2 linked regions of the Caenorhabditis elegans genome follow. The protein of the gene in region 1 interacts with the protein of each later gene in a pairwise test. Each region holds a gene or a part of one and is shown in the gene's direction. Other genes may lie near its edges.

Region 1 (2,535 bases):
GCCTATCATGATGACCTTAGTATTAGCTTCTACACAGCTGATAACATTTCACAAACCTTGCTCCAATAACCTGGTTAAAAGCGATTGCGTGCTTCTTCATCAAATCAATCTCTGGAACTGCAACTAATGGGCACATCACTTCGAACTTATCAATATTCCATTCTTTGTCGCCATAAACATTCTGAAGTTGTGTCAATTTTTATGGCTTTCTTTTTCCTTCAAACACGTACATATCTAACTTGAATCTTGAAGTTGAATTCCTCAACTGGGTTATCTATTAAAGTACCAATTTGAACTCTCATAGTTACTCTGAATACAAATCGATCGTACTCTCCACCAGTCAATTGCACCGCTGTGTGTTGCTTTTAAAAGGAAAATAAGAATGTTCTGTGAAACTTTATAGTTGTGATACTTACATCGCCTTTCACCGGATGATACATCTTCTGGAACCAGAGCCACCAATCGATAAAATTATACTTTCCGATTTTCTTCAACTCACTCCCGTGACACACTTGAATGTCGAGATCAGCAGATACACCGGTATAAGATAGCCAATTAAATGGGATTACAGACTCTTCTCTATCCATTGTGAATAGTTCATAGAAATGTTTGAATACTTTTTTCCTTGTATCAACTCTCTCTGGGTCAGTTTCATGAAGATCCAAAAATATATCAGTGTTTTCCAGATTCGTAACACCATACTCTGTACATGCTCCAACTTCTTCAATCCTTGTCAGTGTGTAGTTGCTGTATGGTTTTTCTCCGAGAAGTTCCATTTTAACAAGATAAGATATCTTTGAAGAGTACTCCCAAGTGGAATGTGCCATAAACGATACCAGGAATATATTGTCATTTATACTCTCCGTTGGAACAGGACTCCAGGAAACTTTCTGAAAAATAAAATGATATGTGAGTGTTTAAAATTACTGCCTACCTCTCCAGAATTTCTCCGGTACGTCCCTCGTTGTCGTTTCCAGAATTCAGCCATTTGATCTGGAATTCAATCTTTTTTTTAAATTCTGGACCAAAAACGGCAATACGCAATTGTAAAAGTTGAACTTACAGAAATTCAGCATTTCCATTCCACCGCATATCTTTCCCTCGAAGTTTATATCCATCAGACTATACAAAATATCAGCACTCTCTTGAAACTTATAATTGTGATTCGATGATTGTCTCAACAAGTGAAGAGCCACCAATTGAGCCGAATGATTTCTTGCAGCATCCACATCCTCCTGAGTCTTCCAATAAAACTTAAACCGTTGGATTAATCCATGTTCACTCAGCGAGAATCGTTTTCCAATTTTCTTGAAAATTTGTTGAGTCTTGTTCGATGTATCCGTAGTTGATATTCCAATAAGAAAGAACAGCGCAAGTTGAATAAATTTCATCTTTGTTGAAAAACTTGGTATTGTTTCATTTATTTGAAAATTGGATTTTTATCGAGATACAGTTTTCACGTAAATTGGTTGCAAAAAACTAGTTTATTTTTGTTTTACAATTAGAAGTATTTAAAATACATTTAAATAAACAAAATAACAATAAAATGAAAACGTAACCTCTCCTTAACTTCCTTATCAGTAAAGTTCATCAAAATGTTGATTTGTCCCCTTCCTTCTCCATATCCAATCATTCCCTTACATCTATTTGGTGATCAACTTTGTCTCCTCAAAAATAAGTCTACAAATGATCAACATCGATCCACCATCCGGCGACTACCCAGCTTCTGGTGGTTCATCAACTCACTACATTGTCTCCGAATCGGAATCTCGTTTGGCATTCAAAGTCAAGTCGTCCAACAATGAATCGTATCGTGTTCGCCCAGTCTATGGATTCGTTGATGCGAAGGGAAAGGCTAAGCTCGAAGTGAATCGTTTGGCTGGACCAGCGAAGGAGGACAAGCTTGTCATTCAATACGCCGAAGTTCCAGCTGATGAGACCGATCCGAAGGCTCCGTTTGCGGCTGGTGCTCAACAAGGAGAAGTCGTTGTCAAGATGGTTGCTAGCTAAGAAAGCTTACTTTATGGTACTTTTCATATGATAAAAATTTTTATGAGATTATTGATTTTAAATAAAATCATTTTTGTCGGTGTGGCGGGGTTTATAGCTTGTGTGCAAGTGAAAAGCTGTTAAAAATCGTAAATGCGCCTTGCCGGCGGTAGGCGGTAAGCGAACATGCCTACCTTCAATGGGAAACTCAATTGTCAGTAGTTGAGCTATTTTCAAAATGTTTTGTCGGGGACTTGTTTCAAATTTTGAGCGTTTTCAGAATTATATAACAAATTTTTTCTAGGAGACAAAAGCTTCCTGTTCAATCAAAAAACTGAGCTAAAAGTTTCTGAGACAAGTCTACTACGAAACATGAAAAAAAATTCTGTAGAATCGAATGTAATTCTATAATTGGAGTCTTCTTGTTTTTTGAGTTCGGTTTGACCAAAAACAGATGCACCCGATGAATCAGTTAAAGCTGAGTTTTGATTGATTGAAGTTTGAGGAGGCTTTATATTAGGAAAGACGTACCCATATTTTGTATAA
Region 2 (4,984 bases), on another chromosome or scaffold:
AAAACCGAATTTTTAAATTTCAATATTATTGCAGCTCTCAACGAGAAGAAAGCAGAAGTTCGTATACAATTCAAAGAAGTCAGTGGAGATATCTATCCGTCTGGTGAATTAAAGCGATCCGAATTAGTGATGAGAGTGCAACCAAATGAGGCAGTTTACATGAAACTGATGACCAAGAAACCTGGAATGGGATTCGGTGTTGAAGAAACTGAACTTGATTTGACTTATAATAATAGGTTAGTTTTTGAAATTTCTCTTCAAAAAAAATTTCATTGTGATAATTTCAGATTCAAAGAAGTCCGTCTTCCTGATGCTTATGAACGCCTATTTCTCGAAGTATTCATGGGATCTCAAATTAATTTCGTTCGAACTGATGAGCTTGAATACGCTTGGCGTATTTTGACGCCAGTTCTCGAAGAGCTTAAAAAGAAGAAAGTTCAACCGGTTCAATATAAATTTGGAAGGTTGGTTGTGTTTCTTTTTTTTTAAAATTAAATACAGTAATCCAATTTTTCAGTCGTGGTCCAACTGAAGGTGACGAATTGATGAAAAAGTACGGTTTCATCTTCACTGGAACATACAAATGGGTTGCTCCAAAGCTATAAATGATACCAGATCTTCCTCTATTCATTCTCTTTCAAATGTTTGTAGAAATAACTTCAAAAATTCAGCAGCTACTAGTTCATATGTTTTCCTGTGTTCCACATCAATATTATTCCTGCTCTTTTTTCATTTGTTAATGTTCTATTGAATGAATGAAAATAAATACGTTTTCAGTTAAAAGAAGTGTAGAACGATAAGATAAGCCAGTAAAAAGGCTTATTTTAAATAATCTGTATTCAAAAAATAATCATTTTTTCGACAAGCCGGTTACGGTGCGCCAGTCCGCAAACACTCTGCATACACTCTACTTCTACAGTAGTGGACGTGCGACGCGTGTTGCGTCGCGCATCATCATATTGTTCAATTCTTGTTCAAGTTCAATCATATTTTCTTCGGATTTCTATCATTTTCCATCGGATTTCCCATCATTTTTGCACAAATGTTTTAAAGTATCAATATCTTTGATTTAAAAAAAAACGTCTTTCTTGTTTTACGTCTTTTTCTTGCTAGCTGCACATCGTATTACTCATTCTTTTTTTCAGCCATGGTTGCTGCTTCCGCTACCCGGAACATGCTCCAATCATATGGAAAACGTGGAATTTACGTTTCACTTGCTGTCGCTGTCGTCTCGACTGCCGCATTCAACGCATTTTACGTTTGGCCACGTCACAACAAATATGAAGAGTTTTTCGCGTCAGTGTGATCCTCGCACAAGTGTCTCCCGGGCAACGAGCAAACTTGCAGAAACTACGATTCGTACACTCGAATGAAAGAGATTTGTTCTGCTAACAAGGGGTACATGCATACTTGTCCAAAGGAATTGGCGAAATTGTACGAAGAGAAAGGGAAAGTTGTTGCCGAGCACTAAATGTTTGATAAATTATTCATAATAATACAAGTCAATAAAGTCTATCATTTCTTTATTCAGTTATTTGTTTTATTCTTGATCAGTACTTTGTGGTTTGTACCACATTCATATATTTTTATCTAAAATTTTCTATCCACGAAAAACCTCCCTTTATAGATAAAAATGGTCGAGAATAAGAGTTCGTACGAACTGCCTGATCAAAAAACTCTTGATATGAACAAAGAATGGGTGCAGGAGCTGGAGGATGTGAGTTTCCAATTGTTTAGCTTATAAATATATTTTATTTTTTATTTCAGATTTTCTACAGCTACAAGAAGTACGATGTGAACAAGGTCAGAGTTCAGCAGTTTTTGGACAGAAGATCCGATTTCCTCGTCTATGACTTTTACACCTCTAACCTGTCAATGGAGTATGTGAACAATGTCACCTTTAATAACCTCATTTATACAAATTTTCAGTGCGATGCAGTATTTCCAAGCAGGTGTAACTCAAAAGGACGTCGGACTGAGCAAAGACTACATCCTGCTCATGCGTAAACTGTACAGTATGCTCACGGAGCCGAGCAAGCAGTTTTTCCAGGAGCAATTCGTTAAGGAATGGCAATATCACGAAATTGATTATACGCCATATTTCGAAACACTCGTTCCCCGATTCAGGGAGAAAATTGCGAGATTATTGGATGAAATTGTCAAAAATCCTGAAGAGGTCGACGACGATGTTCAGGAAGAGGTTGGATTTATAATTTTGAAACAAAGTTCATATTGATATTTCAGTTGCGCTGGCACCTGCTCTTCTCACCAGTCACCACTCTTCTGGACATTTTCACTCGATGCCTCAAGAACTTCGAAATCACTGGATTTTGTTTAAATGTGTGCCTAAAAGTGCCACAATTGTTCTTCGATCGTCCGCTGAAAATATATCACACTGAATACGAAACCGATCGCGTTGAATCACTCATGGCTCTGGTTTTCCGCAGATTGATTTTCAATAAGCGCTGGGTGGATACAAGTGACGAAGAGTGGAGCAATTTGGAACAACTCGCAAGGGTGATATGCTCAGGACAGGAACCCTCGTTGATGTCTGCATGGCCACTTCTGGAAGTGGTGCTTTGCGAACTCTACACTCAGAACAGAACTCCCATGATATCAGTGGAAGTTTTGAGCGAAATTGCTGTGAAAATTGTTGAAAACTTCGATAATTTGAAGTATGCCACGTCGGCGAGAACTAAACCAGCTGAGAATGTTCTTTTGACTCCTTCGATTATTTGTTTCTTGCTCAACATTATTGTTGACGAGAACGTATCGAATACAGTCATTGAAAACTGTAAAATGATTCTCAAGGCGATTGGTCAAAACATGGAGCAACCGTTCGATGCTGAAGCGAAGAGCTACTTAACTTCTAAGGTTTTGAAAGAATTTCCGTGGACCTTAGAATTCGCAATCTCAACGTGGTTCAAGGCTCTGGAAGTTGAGAAGCGACGCATTCCATCAGCAGTCTACAAAGCAATCAATGCAGAAATGAAGGAGACATTCGACGAAAGAACTTTCGATATCGAGGAAAGCGAAACTGTTGATCAATCGATCAATGAAGAAGACGAAGAACGTTGTTCGACTCTATCATCTGAATCTTCAGTGAAAACTGCGATATCTATTGACCATAAATCGGACACCGCTGTTGATAATCTGGAGATGAATCAACTGCATCTGAGCCCAAAGCCCAAGGCTTCTGTAGAGGCAGTGAAAAGCTGTAAGCCCGCTTTTGTCGCAGTGATATTCGAGGAAATTCCACCCGAAACTGATCAAAACATCTCAGTTTTTGAAGATCCAACAATTGAAGTTCTCACGGAATACCTCGATTGTATCATCACAATGGGAGTGTTCGACATCTCGTGCGCCGACGAACTCATGCGTCACAGTTCAGTCACGTTCGAATCCTCAGAACAACTGGAAAAAGTAATGAAGACGGCGTTTGAGGAGAATTTCGAGATCGCAAACGCTGGTCCACAGCGTATCAAAGAGATCTCTGGGAAGATTTTGGAGGTAATGTTTTGTCATTGTCACTAGGAAAGATTTTAATTTGAAAAATACACTGAAAATGAATGGAATGCTTTTTCGTCGTGTCTTTTCTGATTTTCTAACTTTACAGGTTTTCGGCTCAACCTCGTCGGAATCGGACCACGACCGTATCGCTTCATCGATCATAGAGCTCATTCCAACAGAAGAATATGAAAAGACTGGGCCAAGATGGAGTCATGATATAAAGAAATCGGAAATCATTCAGCCTCTGGTTATCCCAGTCGAAGCAACGTTGGAAAGCTGGCCACCAGCTGGTAAGAAAATATAATTCAAAAGTAATTATTATTTCATTAATAATTCTGATTTCTTGCAGAGTACCGTTACGTTGCTCCTGGTATCAAGGAATCTCGTGACTCTGCACGACATGAACGCCTACTACGCCAGCAACTTGCAACAACCAAATCTTTGGAAATGGCTCAACTTCATCGCGATTTGTGGGCGGAAAACGAGAAAAATATGGAGCATTGGACACGCCCAGCGTCCCCTTGCAATAGTTCATTTTTCGCTGAATCTAGCGTGAAGCCAACAACATCAAGTATGGATTTTAATGCTGATTTTTTCAATTATAATTATTGCAGGCGCATATGGCAACTCTTCGAATTTCTCTCGTTATGCAGACTGATCGTCTCTGAAACTTTCTTATAATGTTCCTTGTGTTCCTTTTGTTACTTTGTTGTTAATTTTTCGTTCTTGTTTTTTGTTGTAAAATGCTTTATGCAGGTTTTTACCTGACACTGATTTTGAGCCCACCAAGTCTTCGTGATGGAACTTCTACCCATTTCAAAGACTTCGGGATTAATTGTTTTCCCTCTGAATTTTTTATAATTTTTCCCGATTTATTCTACCTCACCGTGAACATTTTAACCCCTTAATTATCCCATGAGACCGCTCATTTTTATAAAATCGGTAGGACGCGAATTTCTTTGTTTATTATGGCATTGTGATATAGTGGGGGATGGGGTGGTATGCAGGGCTTAGCTCATGGTTTTCCTTAGTTTTCTGACCGATCGTCAAATATAGGTGAAAACTTAATAACAATATTGCATTCAGGGCTCGAATTTCAAGCAGACCGCTTATAAATGCAATACAAAATTTATTAAAATGGGATTGAAAAATTGTAATTATCGTAATTCTAGAATTTCCTCATACGTTTTCTGACAGAACATGGAAGGTAGAAAACTTTATAACAATATTGCATTCAAGCAAACAACTTATTAAAAATAAATGTAATATGAACTTTATTAAAAAATTTATTAATGGGAAAAAGTAGGATTTTGTATATTTGTGGCCCTAAAGAGGCCGTTGGGTTCGGTGGGTTTGTTTAAAGAAGAAAGTTCTTACTCCTTATCTCCTCCAGTCTTCTTTGGGAGAAGAACGGCTTGGATGTTTGGAAGAACTCCTCCTTGGGCGATGGTCACTCCGGCCAAAAGCTTGTTGA

The links. Proteins that work in one complex are often made in the same cells at the same time.
Region 2: the proteins of ssp-31 (region 1) and edg-1 interact in binary tests that used the Caenorhabditis elegans proteins (3 or more experiments, as listed by UniProt).

The regions. Positions count from the first base shown.
Region 1 is NC_003279.8:13,217,455-13,219,989, forward strand, and holds ssp-31 (Sperm-specific class P protein 31), read left to right. Parts: upstream 1-1,686; coding exon 1,687-2,010; downstream 2,011-2,535. Other genes in the region: ZK1225.5 (FSA_C domain-containing protein), read right to left, coding at 57-181, 231-362, 417-890, 935-993, 1,064-1,391.
Region 2 is NC_003282.8:11,319,173-11,324,156, forward strand, and holds edg-1 (Protein edg-1), read left to right. Parts: upstream 1-1,627; 5' UTR 1,628-1,633; coding exon 1,634-1,717; intron 1,718-1,767; coding exon 1,768-1,880; intron 1,881-1,929; coding exon 1,930-2,200; intron 2,201-2,244; coding exon 2,245-3,510; intron 3,511-3,616; coding exon 3,617-3,800; intron 3,801-3,859; coding exon 3,860-4,081; intron 4,082-4,124; coding exon 4,125-4,168; 3' UTR 4,169-4,464; downstream 4,465-4,984. Other genes in the region: gspd-1 (Glucose-6-phosphate 1-dehydrogenase), read left to right, coding at 35-236, 288-464, 518-605; B0035.18 (Mitochondrial cytochrome c oxidase subunit VIc/VIIs domain-containing protein), read left to right, coding at 1,148-1,296, 1,348-1,471; his-47 (Histone H2A), read right to left, coding at 4,884-4,984. UniProt on the Caenorhabditis elegans protein: Plays a role in regulating deps-1 cluster formation in the germline.